Linked DNA regions of Macaca mulatta. The protein of the gene in region 1 interacts with the protein of each later gene in a pairwise test. Links are inferred from orthologs where the notes say so. Each region holds a gene or a part of one and is shown in the gene's direction. Other genes may lie near its edges.

What was found.
Region 2: the proteins of SNRPN (region 1) and CTBP1 interact in a two-hybrid assay, tested with the Homo sapiens proteins (2 studies listed by BioGRID and IntAct). The link is inferred for Macaca mulatta from reciprocal best matches to the Homo sapiens genes SNRPN and CTBP1.
Region 3: the proteins of SNRPN (region 1) and SNRPD3 interact in a two-hybrid assay, tested with the Homo sapiens proteins (2 studies listed by BioGRID, with this or other methods). The link is inferred for Macaca mulatta from reciprocal best matches to the Homo sapiens genes SNRPN and SNRPD3.

What each region holds. Positions count from the first base shown.
Region 1 is NC_133412.1:4,999,169-5,002,814, reverse strand, and holds the end of SNRPN (small nuclear ribonucleoprotein-associated protein N), read left to right. Parts: intron 1-153; coding exon 154-305; intron 306-1,110; coding exon 1,111-1,222; intron 1,223-1,671; coding exon 1,672-1,824; intron 1,825-2,577; coding exon 2,578-2,716; intron 2,717-3,003; coding exon 3,004-3,129; intron 3,130-3,217; coding exon 3,218-3,255; 3' UTR 3,256-3,394; downstream 3,395-3,646.
Region 2 is NC_133410.1:1,286,476-1,289,740, reverse strand, and holds the end of CTBP1 (C-terminal-binding protein 1), read left to right. Parts: intron 1-569; coding exon 570-697; exon of another isoform or gene 698-772; intron 773-1,098; exon of another isoform or gene 1,099-1,124; coding exon 1,125-1,242; intron 1,243-1,719; coding exon of another isoform or gene 1,720-1,722; coding exon 1,723-1,906; 3' UTR 1,907-2,708; downstream 2,709-3,265. UniProt on the Homo sapiens protein: Corepressor targeting diverse transcription regulators such as GLIS2 or BCL6. Has dehydrogenase activity. Involved in controlling the equilibrium between tubular and stacked structures in the Golgi complex.
Region 3 is NC_133415.1:28,770,487-28,774,889, reverse strand, and holds the start of SNRPD3 (small nuclear ribonucleoprotein Sm D3), read left to right. Parts: upstream 1-1,535; 5' UTR 1,536-1,553; coding exon 1,554-1,679; intron 1,680-4,403. Other genes in the region: protein GUCD1, read right to left, coding at 1-106. UniProt on the Homo sapiens protein: Plays a role in pre-mRNA splicing as a core component of the spliceosomal U1, U2, U4 and U5 small nuclear ribonucleoproteins (snRNPs), the building blocks of the spliceosome.

The sequences.
Region 1 (3,646 bases):
TAAATATGGAAGAATGTTGGTGAAAAAGTAGGAGAGAATATTTGTTTAGTTAAGGAAACCAGGCTTGGATTATATAAGGGCGGAGAAGAAACAGAAGATTAGAAGACTAGGGTGTTGGCAACCTGAACATGACTCTTGTCTTACTGCTTCCAGACTGTGGGCAAGAGTAGCAAGATGCTGCAGCACATTGACTATAGAATGAGATGTATCCTACAAGATGGCCGAATCTTCATTGGCACCTTTAAGGCTTTTGACAAGCATATGAATTTGATCCTCTGTGATTGTGATGAGTTCAGAAAGATCAAGTAAGCTGATTTGGGTAAATGGGGGTTGGACGCAGAGGCAGTGGGAAGGGAAGGCCAGACCTGGAGTAAGGGATTTCCAAGGGTAACTGAGGTAGGTAGGGAAGCTAAGGTAGAGCCAGTCTATTGTTTCACCTCTTGACCTGATCTCTGAATTAGGTCAGAGTCTGCATATAAACTCTTAAGTTTGTGAGACAATCATGGATTTATTACTGGGAATAAAAGTGTATGTTGTGCTCAAAATATTAAGTTATATTTATTTTTAAAATTGAGAAAAATGCTATTGTTAATTAATTGGTTGGCTTCTGCAGCAGTCTTAGACTGAATAAATCTGGGTTGAAATAGAGAATAATAATTGCTCTTCACGGTTGAGGAGTTGGGATATGGTTGCTATTTGTTATCCTCTCTTTGCCTATTACTGTTCGCATTATTTCAGTTGTGTCACCCTGTCATTATGATTTAATTATTTAAGTAATTTTTTAAAGAAATTTCCATTTTAATATGGAAACCGAAGTTTCAACTTTGTTTTCCTTAAAAGGCGTTTTACAAAAGAAATTCGTCTTGTTGTAGTGTTAACATCAAAGGAACATTCTGTAAAAGACTAAAGTTAGATCAGAAACAGCTTTACTATTTACCCTTTTATATTAACTGTTTACGGATTTTTTTTTGTTTGTTTTTCAGTGATAACTTAATATCTGTTTAGCATCGGTTGCCTTAATTGATACTTGAGGTTGTATAAATATTTTGATGAGTGAGTAATCTAGGGGTCACTAAAATTATCTCACTAAAATTTAATTCTGATTTGTAGGCCAAAGAATGCGAAGCAACCAGAGCGTGAAGAAAAGCGGGTTTTGGGTCTGGTGTTGCTGCGTGGGGAGAACTTGGTATCCATGACTGTGGAGGGGCCACCCCCCAAAGATGTAAGGAAGATGTAGAGCAGGACAGAACTCTAATTTGCAAGGACATCATATTATGTGAGATGTCTGAAATCACGGTACAGCACAGACACAGTTTAACATGGATTGTCAAATGTGCCAAGCACTTAGTATCAATTGTTGGTTGCCTATGCTATTTGGGATTAAGGGTTTTTTGGTGAATTATTCTGTGTGCTGGGCATTACCTAGGTGAGGGTAGGAGTTGCTGATTCATGTTTGCTTGGTATGTTTATAAAAGAGCTGTTTTCACAATTTGACAAATAATGCGCATTTTATCCACAAGATACCTCCATGGTATACTTGCTTGTTCATTTGGATACAGAACTAATACGAGATAAGTGTCTGGGAAAATGGTGGAGAGAAGTGATCTCTGATGCATAAAAATACTGAGAACTTGTAAATTGTTTGATTTTAGGCTATACATTTTCTTTCAGACTGGCATTGCTCGGGTACCACTTGCTGGAGCTGCTGGAGGCCCTGGGGTTGGTAGGGCAGCTGGTAGAGGAGTACCAGCTGGTGTGCCAATTCCCCAGGCCCCTGCTGGATTGGCAGGCCCTGTCCGAGGAGTTGGGGGACCGTCCCAGCAGGTGAGGAACCAGCGGAGGGTTTTATATTGGGAGAATGTGACTAAGCCAGAGGCCGAGGAGATTTAAAAACCTGAGTGTACATGTCATACTATGTAAAGGGCATATGGTCTAGGAGGAACCAACGGACAGATACACAGGAGGAAGGGAATAAAACTAGCTACTTAAAATGGTCATTGGGTGATTAAAATTACCTGAGTTACTCTTGGTAAGAGTAACTTGCCACTAGTGGTGAGTGAACAGAATGCCTGGATATACCTCAGTTGAAAAGATCAAAGGGCTTTGTGGATGTCAGTGTACTAAGATTAGTTTTTAAAATATGGGAATAGGCAGGTGCGGTGGCTTATGCCTGTAGTCCAGCACTTTGGGAGGCCACAGTGGGCAGATCACTTGAGGTCAGGAGTTGGAGACCAGCCTGGCCCACATGGTGAAAACCCCGTCTCTACTAAAAGTACAAAAACCTGCTGGGCCTGGTTGGGGGCACCTGTGATCCCGGCTACCCAGCAGGCTGAGACAGGAGAATCGCTTGAACCCGGGAGTGGGAGGCTGCAGTGGGCTGAGATTGCACCATTGCATTGCAGCCTGGGTGACAAGAGTGAAACTGTCTCAAAAAAAAAAAAACATGGGAATAATGAGAGAAGTACAACATTGCAACAGTTGTTTGTATCTAATTGGTCATTTTTCTCATTTATTTTCTGTGTTTGAATAACGTGAAGGTATGTATCACTTTGTTGGTTTCTCCCCTTGCCTTCTCAGGTAATGACTCCACAGGGAAGAGGCACTGTAGCAGCTGCTGCCGTTGCTGCCACCGCCAGCATTGCTGGAGCCCCAACACAGTACCCACCAGGACGGGGGACTCCGCCCCCACCTGTTGGCAGAGCAACCCCACCTCCAGGTAAGGGATTGGTGAACATTAAGACGAATTTGAATCTCTGACTAGAGAGAGCTTACTGATTTAAGACACAGCCTGAGAGCCTAACTCAGAATCCGGGGCATATGCTTCCTCCCTCTTCTAGGTACTGGTGTTTAATGAAAGACGTAGGAGAGTAATTGTCATTTAGAAATTATTTGACTCTTATCACTGTTGTCTGGCCCATTTCTTTAGGGATTATTTGGGCTAAATTCTAACAGCTTTTCTAAGCCGGTTTATAAGGCCTTTATTTCTACCATTTTTCATCGCAGGCATTATGGCTCCTCCACCTGGTATGAGACCACCCATGGGCCCACCAATTGGGCTTCCCCCTGCTCGAGGGACGCCAATAGGCATGCCCCCTCCGGGAATGAGACCCCCTCCACCAGGAATTAGAGGTGAGTGGGAGCATAGGGGCTTGATGGTTCAGCCAGGCCCCTGAATATGTGTATCCTCTTTTTCTCAATGTTTCTATTTCCTTTCCAGGTCCACCTCCCCCAGGAATGCGTCCACCAAGACCCTAGCATACTGTTGATCCATCTCAGTCACTTTTCCCCCTGCAATGCGTCTTGTGAAATTGTGTAGAGTGTTTGTGAGCTTTTTGTCCCCTCATTCTGCATTAATAATAGCTAATAATAAATGCATAGAGCAATTAAACTGTGAGGTACTGTTGTATATATTTTTTTGCCTGTTGATTTTGATGAGATCTTAAGTTACTGTGGATGAGGTGATGCCTATTAAGCAGTAGATTCAAATCATATTCTCTTTCATTCTTAGGATAAAAAGGTTTTCTGCTAACTTTCACTTTGTGCATTGACTGGTGTTGGTTAATAATGTTTTCATGACCCAGGGGGTTTTAAGTGGTTGTGCTGCTTCCCACGTGGCCTCCTGCTTCTCCTGTTACTAAGTCATGTT
Region 2 (3,265 bases), on another chromosome or scaffold:
CACGGGCTCCAGGCCTGCCTCGCCTCGGTCCTGTGAGGGTTGATCGTCCTCCTCAGCCCCTCTTCGGGCAGGGCTCCCCACCAGCCAGGAGAGAGTGAGGCCCCAGTGTCCGTGAGTGGTCCCCACAGGCCCTGGCCATGGAGTCATGGCGTCATGTCCAGACCTGCAATCCCTGCAGCGCCCTGGGACCCCAGGCAGCCCTGGGTTGGATGGTCAGCCACAGGAGGAGACACCCCGCAGGGGCAGTACCAGCCTGCAGCTCCTGGGGCTACAGGACCTTCGGCCGGGAGGGGCCAGGCCAGCATGTCCCCCCATCAGGGCTCCTCCCCCAAGGGGCTTGGAGATTAAATCCTTTGGGCTCCCACACCCGCTGCTGTCAGGAGCCCCTGGTGTGTCTGATGGTCCTGGGGCTGAGCTCTTGTGCTCAGCCCGCCTGCCAAGCGGAGCGGGGCCGTGGGGTCTGTGGGTCCCAGGCAGGGTCCCCCACAGGGGTTCCAGTGCCCAGCCACTTCCCCCCCGCACCCAGCCACAGCACTCGGGCTGCACTGACCATGCTGTGCTGTTCCCAGCTTTAGCCAGGGCCCCCTGAAGGATGCACCCAATCTTATCTGCACCCCCCACGCTGCGTGGTACAGCGAGCAGGCTTCCATCGAGATGCGAGAGGAGGCGGCACGGGAGATCCGCAGAGCCATCACAGGTGGGCCTGGGGGACTCTTCCTGCCAGCCCCAGGCCTGGCTCATGGGCTCGCATCCGCCCAGCAGCCAGGCCCATGTTCTGCCAGCTCAGGGCCCATGGTGCTCTCACTGCACCCCCAGCAGGGACCTCTAAGGCCAAAGTCAGGTTGAGCCCTGGCGTCGTCTTACACACAAGAGCTGCTGGGAAGTTGCTGGGCTGAGCAGACAGGTCCCTCAGCAAACTGGGCACATGCTCTGGGCTGGGGGTCCCCACGCTGCGAGGGTTCTGGTGCCCTGAGAGACAGGACCCTGCCATGCCTTGGGAGCCCCGGGGCTGAGAGGGAGGAGCACACTGCCGAGAGCTCTACAGCCCGTGTCTTCAACCCAGTGGGCCACGCTCCTGGGGCCCCCTGAGAGCCACAGCTATTCCTCCCTCCTGCCTCTCCCAGGCCGGATCCCAGACAGCCTGAAGAACTGTGTCAACAAGGACCATCTGACGGCAGCCACCCACTGGGCCAGCATGGACCCCGCTGTCGTGCACCCTGAGCTCAACGGGGCCGCCTATAGGTGAGCAGGCCCGCTGGCCCGGAACAGCCACCAGGAGGGCCCGAGGCTTCCCCTGGATCCCAGCACAGCCCCTGGCGGGAGGGGCGGCGTCTCCACTGACTGACCTGGAGGATCTGGGTGGAACTGGTAAGGCCCACCTCACCCGAAAGGCCTATGAGAACCAGGGCCTCTTGGAAGGAGCTGGGGTGGCCTTCAGGACCCAGTGCGCACAGGACTACTGTGGGCACGGGGCCTGTGGGAGGAGGGGGCTTTGGGTGAGGCGAAGACCTCATGTTCAAGTCGCCTGGAGACACCAGGGCTCCCCTCCCCTGCCCTGAGAAGTAGCCCCCGTAGGCGGGAGCATCCGTGCGGAGGCGGGATCCTCACCCTGACTGCTGGTCCCGCTGGAGCCGCCCCTCAGTGCTGCAGACGCTGTGAGGGCAGGTGGGGCCCGGTCAGGCTGCCTGTAGGGGGCCTCACAGACGGACCCTCTCCCAGCAGGTACCCTCCAGGCGTGGTGGGCGTGGCCCCCACTGGCATCCCCGCTGCTGTGGAAGGTATCGTCCCCAGCGCCATGTCCCTGTCCCATGGCCTGCCCCCTGTGGCCCACCCACCCCATGCCCCTTCTCCTGGCCAAACTGTCAAGCCCGAGGCAGATAGAGACCACGCCAGTGACCAGTTGTAGCCCGGGAGGAGCTCTCCAGCCTCAGCGCCTGGGCAGAGGGCCCGGAAACCCTCGGACCAGAGTGTGTGGAGGAGGTGCCTGTGTGGCGGCCCTGGCACTGCAGAGACTGGTCCGGGCTGTCAGGAGGCGGGAGGGGGCAGCGCTGGGCCTCGTGTCGCTTGTCGTCCGTCCTGTGGGCGCTCTGCCCCGTGTCCTTCGCGTTCCTCGTTAAGCAGAAGAAGTCAGTAGTTATTCTCCCATGAACGTTCTTGTCTGTGTACAGTTTTTAGAACATTACAAAGGATCTGTTTGCTTAGCTGTCAACAAAAAGAAAACCTGAAGGAGCATTCGGAAGTCAATTTGAGGTTTTTTTTTTTCTTTTGGTTTTTTTTTTTCTTCTTTTTTTTGTATGTTGGAACGTGCCCCAGAATGAGGCAGTTGGCAAACTTCTCAGGACAATGAATCCTTCCCGTTTTTCTTTTTATGCCACACAGTGCATTGTTTTTTCTACCTGCTTGTCTTATTTTTAGAATAATTTAGAAAAACAAAACAAAGGCTGTTTTTCCTAATTTGGCATGAACCCCCCCTTGTTCCAAATAAAGACGGCATCACGAAGCGGCTCCAAAAGGAAAAGCTTGGGCGGTGCCCAGCGTGCCCGCTGCCCATCGACATCTGTCCTGGGGATGTGGAGGGTGGCAGCGTCCCTGTCTGCACCAGTGCCGTCCTGCTGATGTGGTAGGCTAGCAATATTTTGGTTAAAATCATGTTTGTGACTGTAACCATTTGTATGAATTATTTTAAAGAAATAAAAATCCCGGAAAGAGCCAGTTTGCCTAGCATTTGTTCTAGTGGCTTTCTGTCATGAGGACACGGGTGAGCCTCAGTCCTGGCTCTGGTGACCTCCAGGGCCTAGCTCAGCCTCTCTGAAGTAGGCAGCCTAAGAGAGACTCAGATACAATGCAGTGGCAGGTTGGGCAGTGGTCTCTGTGTGTACCGGGCCTGTGCCTCTGCCCACTGGGTCTGTGGGATGCTGTAGGGTCCTGGCTTGGAGGTGGCCTGCCCGAAGTGCCCCTGTGGGAGGGAAGCAGTGTGCCAGGCCGGGCCTGCCCCACTGCCCACCCCCTCCCTTCTTGGCATACCTCCCGCAGGCCGGCCTGTGACCTGGGAAGACTGTGGGCCACAGGAGGAGGAAGGAAAGCAGATGTCAGGACTGAGGAAGTTCCCCCGACCATGGGTCACCCAGCCTACAGAAATGTGCAAAAAAGCCAAAAGGTGTCGCACCTCACCTTGGCCCACAGCTGGGCTGGATGTTCAGCCGCAGGAGGAGACACCCCTGCAGGGGTAGTATCAGCCCGCAGCTCATACTGAAAACAGATTACT
Region 3 (4,403 bases), on another chromosome or scaffold:
AAGACTCAATGCATGAACTCTGCGGGATTCGGGGAGGGAAGAAAGCGGGAAGTTTGGACCACCCAAACATCAGCGTCGCCTCACTAGCGCCTGGAAGTAAGTTCATTAGCTGCCCCCTCAATGTGCATGCTTCTTACATTCTGTATCTCTCCAGGTGAGTGTTTTTCAAAGTTTCCAGGCAGTAATCTTGAAGTCATTTCCTATGAGTTTTTTGAATCTTGAAGTCAAATCCTATGAGGGTTTTTTTTTTTTTTTTTTTTTTTAAAGTAGAGACGGTTTCACCATGTTACCCTGGCTGGTCTCGAACTCCTGGGCTCAAGGGATCCACCGGCTTCGTCCTTCAAAAGTGTTGGGACTACGGGCGTGAGCCATCGCGCCCAGCCGGTCATTTTTTAAAAAGTTCTTTGCATCTCTGCCCCCAGCTCCCTTTCAGGCAGTGGTCCCGTCATGCTTTCCACACTGTTGCAGCAGTTTTAACTGTTGCAGAAATTTTAACAAGTTTCTCTGCTTCTAAACCTTACGTTAGATCCATTTTGTAAATAAATGCTGCTACCTTTTCATTGTGTCATTCTTTACCTATAATTTTGCAGTGGTTCCCCACTATCTTCAGCATAAAATCTAGGCTCCTAAGGCTGAAAGCCAGGGATCCTCACCAAAGGAGCCTGTCTTTTCAACCTCATGTTCTCCTGTCTTAGGTGCACTTAGGTTCCAACTTTGAGTCGTCGCTCATGTCAATAAAAAGTTCACTACTTGATGCTTTTAATTAGGTCAAGTCAGGTGCTTTCCCTTATTTTCCTCCATGACGGGCATTTCCTGCATATAGCACGTTGTCACTTTGATATTTTCTCAATATCCTTGATGGTAAAGTAAGGGAAGGGTTAAAGAGCTGCATTAAAAGTACAGTCTCCTCTCCTAGATATGCATGGTCCTTAGGTCTGTATCTGCTCCTTCCGTAGGGTAGCCACCAGCTACATGTAGCTGTTGAGCACTTGGAATATGGCCACTGGGATTGAGGGACTGGGTTTTTTATTTTAATTCTATTGTGTTTTAGTTAAGTTTAATTTAAATAGCTACATGTGGACATGAGCTACTGTATTGGACAGCTCAGGCCTGTGTTATGATTGTCAAAATGTAATAATCTACAATTAAGGGTTGACAAATAACAGTGCAACAGATTAACATTCCAATCCCCCTCCCCTACACACACAGTATTCGCTAATGGTCCTTTAGCTGAAGATTAAGGGACATAGGGTAGCAGGGACACATGGTCGATGGGAGATGCTCTCTTTTCATTCCTGTTTTTACTTCTGTCCACCCCACCATTCCTCCTCACCCGACATCTTGCACATATTTGCCAGATAGTTTCCTCCAAGCCAGGAGCTGAGCTTTCTTTTTTCTTTTTCTTTGATAGAAAATGCAGCTTTGGCGTTTTTGCTAAGTTTTATGGAGTGCCAGGCCTTGAAGGAGGCATGACGTGTGCCGCATGCCTTCTCAGACTCTGAAAGATGAACTGACTGTTGTCTCTTTCACTGTAGAGCTCTCTTCCTGCCAAGATGTCTATTGGTGTGCCAATTAAAGTGCTGCACGAGGCCGAGGGCCACATTGTGACATGTGAGACGAACACCGGTGAGGTATATCGGGGGAAGCTCATTGAAGCAGAGGACAACATGAACTGCCAGGTATTCTGCTTTGCATGTGAGGCTGTGTGGGAGGAATGGCCCTGTGTCTTGAAGGACAGAAAGGTGTGGGTTGGGGGTCTTCTGTAAATTGTTCTCATTCAGCAGTGATTTCCTGAGTGCCTAACACATACCAGTCAGGTGCTGTTATAGGCTCTGGGGATGTGGGCATGAACAAAACACATAGTCTTGAGGCAGAAAAGCCATTTGGAGATTTGGAATATTTTACTTCGCCTTTTTTGTTTTTTCCATCCCCAAATTTGGGGACCTGTTTGGGAGAAGTTCCTTCAGTAGAATCCTTCAGGTTCAGAGCCATTATCCATTTGCCTCCACTTGCTTTGCAGTTAGGAGAATCTTCTCACATACTGTGTTTGTTTCCCTTTTCTCTTGGAGGAGGAGTCTCATTTGATTATTGCAACTACCTTGTGAGGTAAGCAGGTTTGGTGGTAGTCTTGTCATCCATAAAATAGGGAGAATGAGATTAAAGGACTCATCACTCTGATAGTAAATAATGGAGTAGTTTCTTGATACGGTGTCCTTCTCATGGCGCAGCTTTGCCTTTTGCATAGTCATCTGAATTTTTATAGCATTGTTTTTCAGTTGTATCTTCACACTTTCTTTGTTCTTTAAACCATTGGTTAAGAACTTGGACTTGGGAGTCAGAGAGAGATGTGGGTTTGATTCCTAATTATATGACCTTAGATGTATTAATCACTCAGTTTTCTCATCTGTAAAACGGGAGTGTTATTATTTTGGGTTCTTTGATGTAGATGCCAAGACAGAATTATGCAAGGTATTTATTGGGGGAAATGACAATAAAGGATAAAGGAACAAGGAAACAGTAGTAGGCAGGGAAATTTTCAGTCCGTGATGCTGGTCTGACTGGTGAAACGAGAGGGGAAAGAAGGAGGATTGAGCAGGAAGAACCTTAGACTACAGTGTAGTTTTGAGGAAGTCTCAGCAAGGCAGTGATTGCTCATTAGAAGAATCTAACATGGGGCAGAAATGGGCAGACTGGCACCCCTGGTGTGTTCATTCCATTGGCTGGCAGCCTGGGGAGACAGTCTCTCTCCCCAAGTTGAATGCCATGGTGGACTGCAAAGATGGAGATTGTCGGCTGCCTTCACTCCTCATAGCCTGTTTTCTTTTGGAGGGAGATCTGAGCAGCACACCCTTAAGACTGCCACAGGGATAATATCCACACCCCCAGGACTTTTACAAAGATCAGATGAGCTATATGTGTGCAATAGCTGCTCGGTGCCTCACATACTGTAAGTGTTCAACGTATGGTGTTTACTGCTTTTTTCCAGATGAGAAGGTCAGAGAGGTAAAGCGTCTTACACCACGGTCAGGTATCCTGACCATCTATTGGTTTGCGCCATTCATTTATTTGTGATTTTTCTGTAGCTTTGAGCGTCTATCATCTTCCTGCGAGGTTGACAAGCTTGGTCAGTTCCCTGGATGCAGAGAAGTAGACCTCTGGTGACTCAGGTTTATTGCATCATTGTCAATAGATCAGTTTATCTATTGACAGTAGATAGGTTTATCATCTCTCTTTCATATATCCAGACCTCTGGCTTAAGGCATGCTCATCCACTTTAAGGTACTTTAATTTGGTGAGGAGAATGCAGGACTTGGGTTAGTGAATCTTAATGGGTTTGTCATCTAGCTATATGTATTTGGACAACCTGCTGGGTTTCCAGGGCCTTTGTCATCCCATCCATAACATGAAGGTGTCTAACCAGATAACCTCGGTGGCCATTCAGAGATGCAGTCCACGTGACACAAAGTGCACAGAACTTGGAGTCAGACAGACCTGGAATCAGCTTGCAGCCTGCCACCTAGGGTGACTTGGGGTGAGCTTTGGACCTCCTTCGTCCTCTGGTCCCTCTTCTAAGTCAGGGATAAAAATAGCTCCTTGGCTTCAGAAGGAACCATAGTGCAGAAGAAATGAGTAGATGCATGTCACATGCCTGACCAATGGTGGGGGGGCAGCCACCTGCCTCCCTGCTTGTATTTGTATGCTAGTGCTGCCAATAACAAAGTTTCACAGATTGGGCAGCTTAGACAACACAAATTTGTTTTCTCCTAGATCTGAAGGCTGGAAGTCTGAGATCAAGGTGTTGGCAAGGCTGATTTCTTCTGAGGGATGTGAAGGAAGGATCTGTTCCAGGCCTCTCTCCTTACTTATAGATGACTCTCTTCTCCCTGTGTCTTCACTTGGTCTTCACTCTGTAGTGTTTCTGTCTAGATCTCTTCTTATAAGGATACCAGGCATGTAGAAATAGGGCCCACTCTAATGACTTTTCTTAACATAAAGTTTTTTTTTTAATAAAGTTTTTTTTTTTTTTTTTTGAGATGGAGCCTTGCTCTGTCGCCCAGGCTGGAGTGCAGTGGCGCGATCTTGGCTCACTGCAACCTCCGCCTTCCAGGTTCAAGCGATTCTCCTGCCTCAGCCTCCCAAGTAGCTGAGACTACAGGCACCTGCCACCATGTCAGCTAATTTTTGTATTTTTAGTAGAGACGGGTTTCACCATATTGGCCAGGCTGGTCTCGAACTCCTGACCTTGTGGTCCACTTGTCTCAGCCTCCCAAAGTGCTGGGACTACAGATGTGAGCCACCATGCCCGGCTTGCCTTTTTTTTTTTTTTTTTTTTTTTTGTGAGACAGAGTCTCACTCTGTTGTCCAGGCTGGAGTGCAGTGGCACAATCTCAACTCACTGCAAC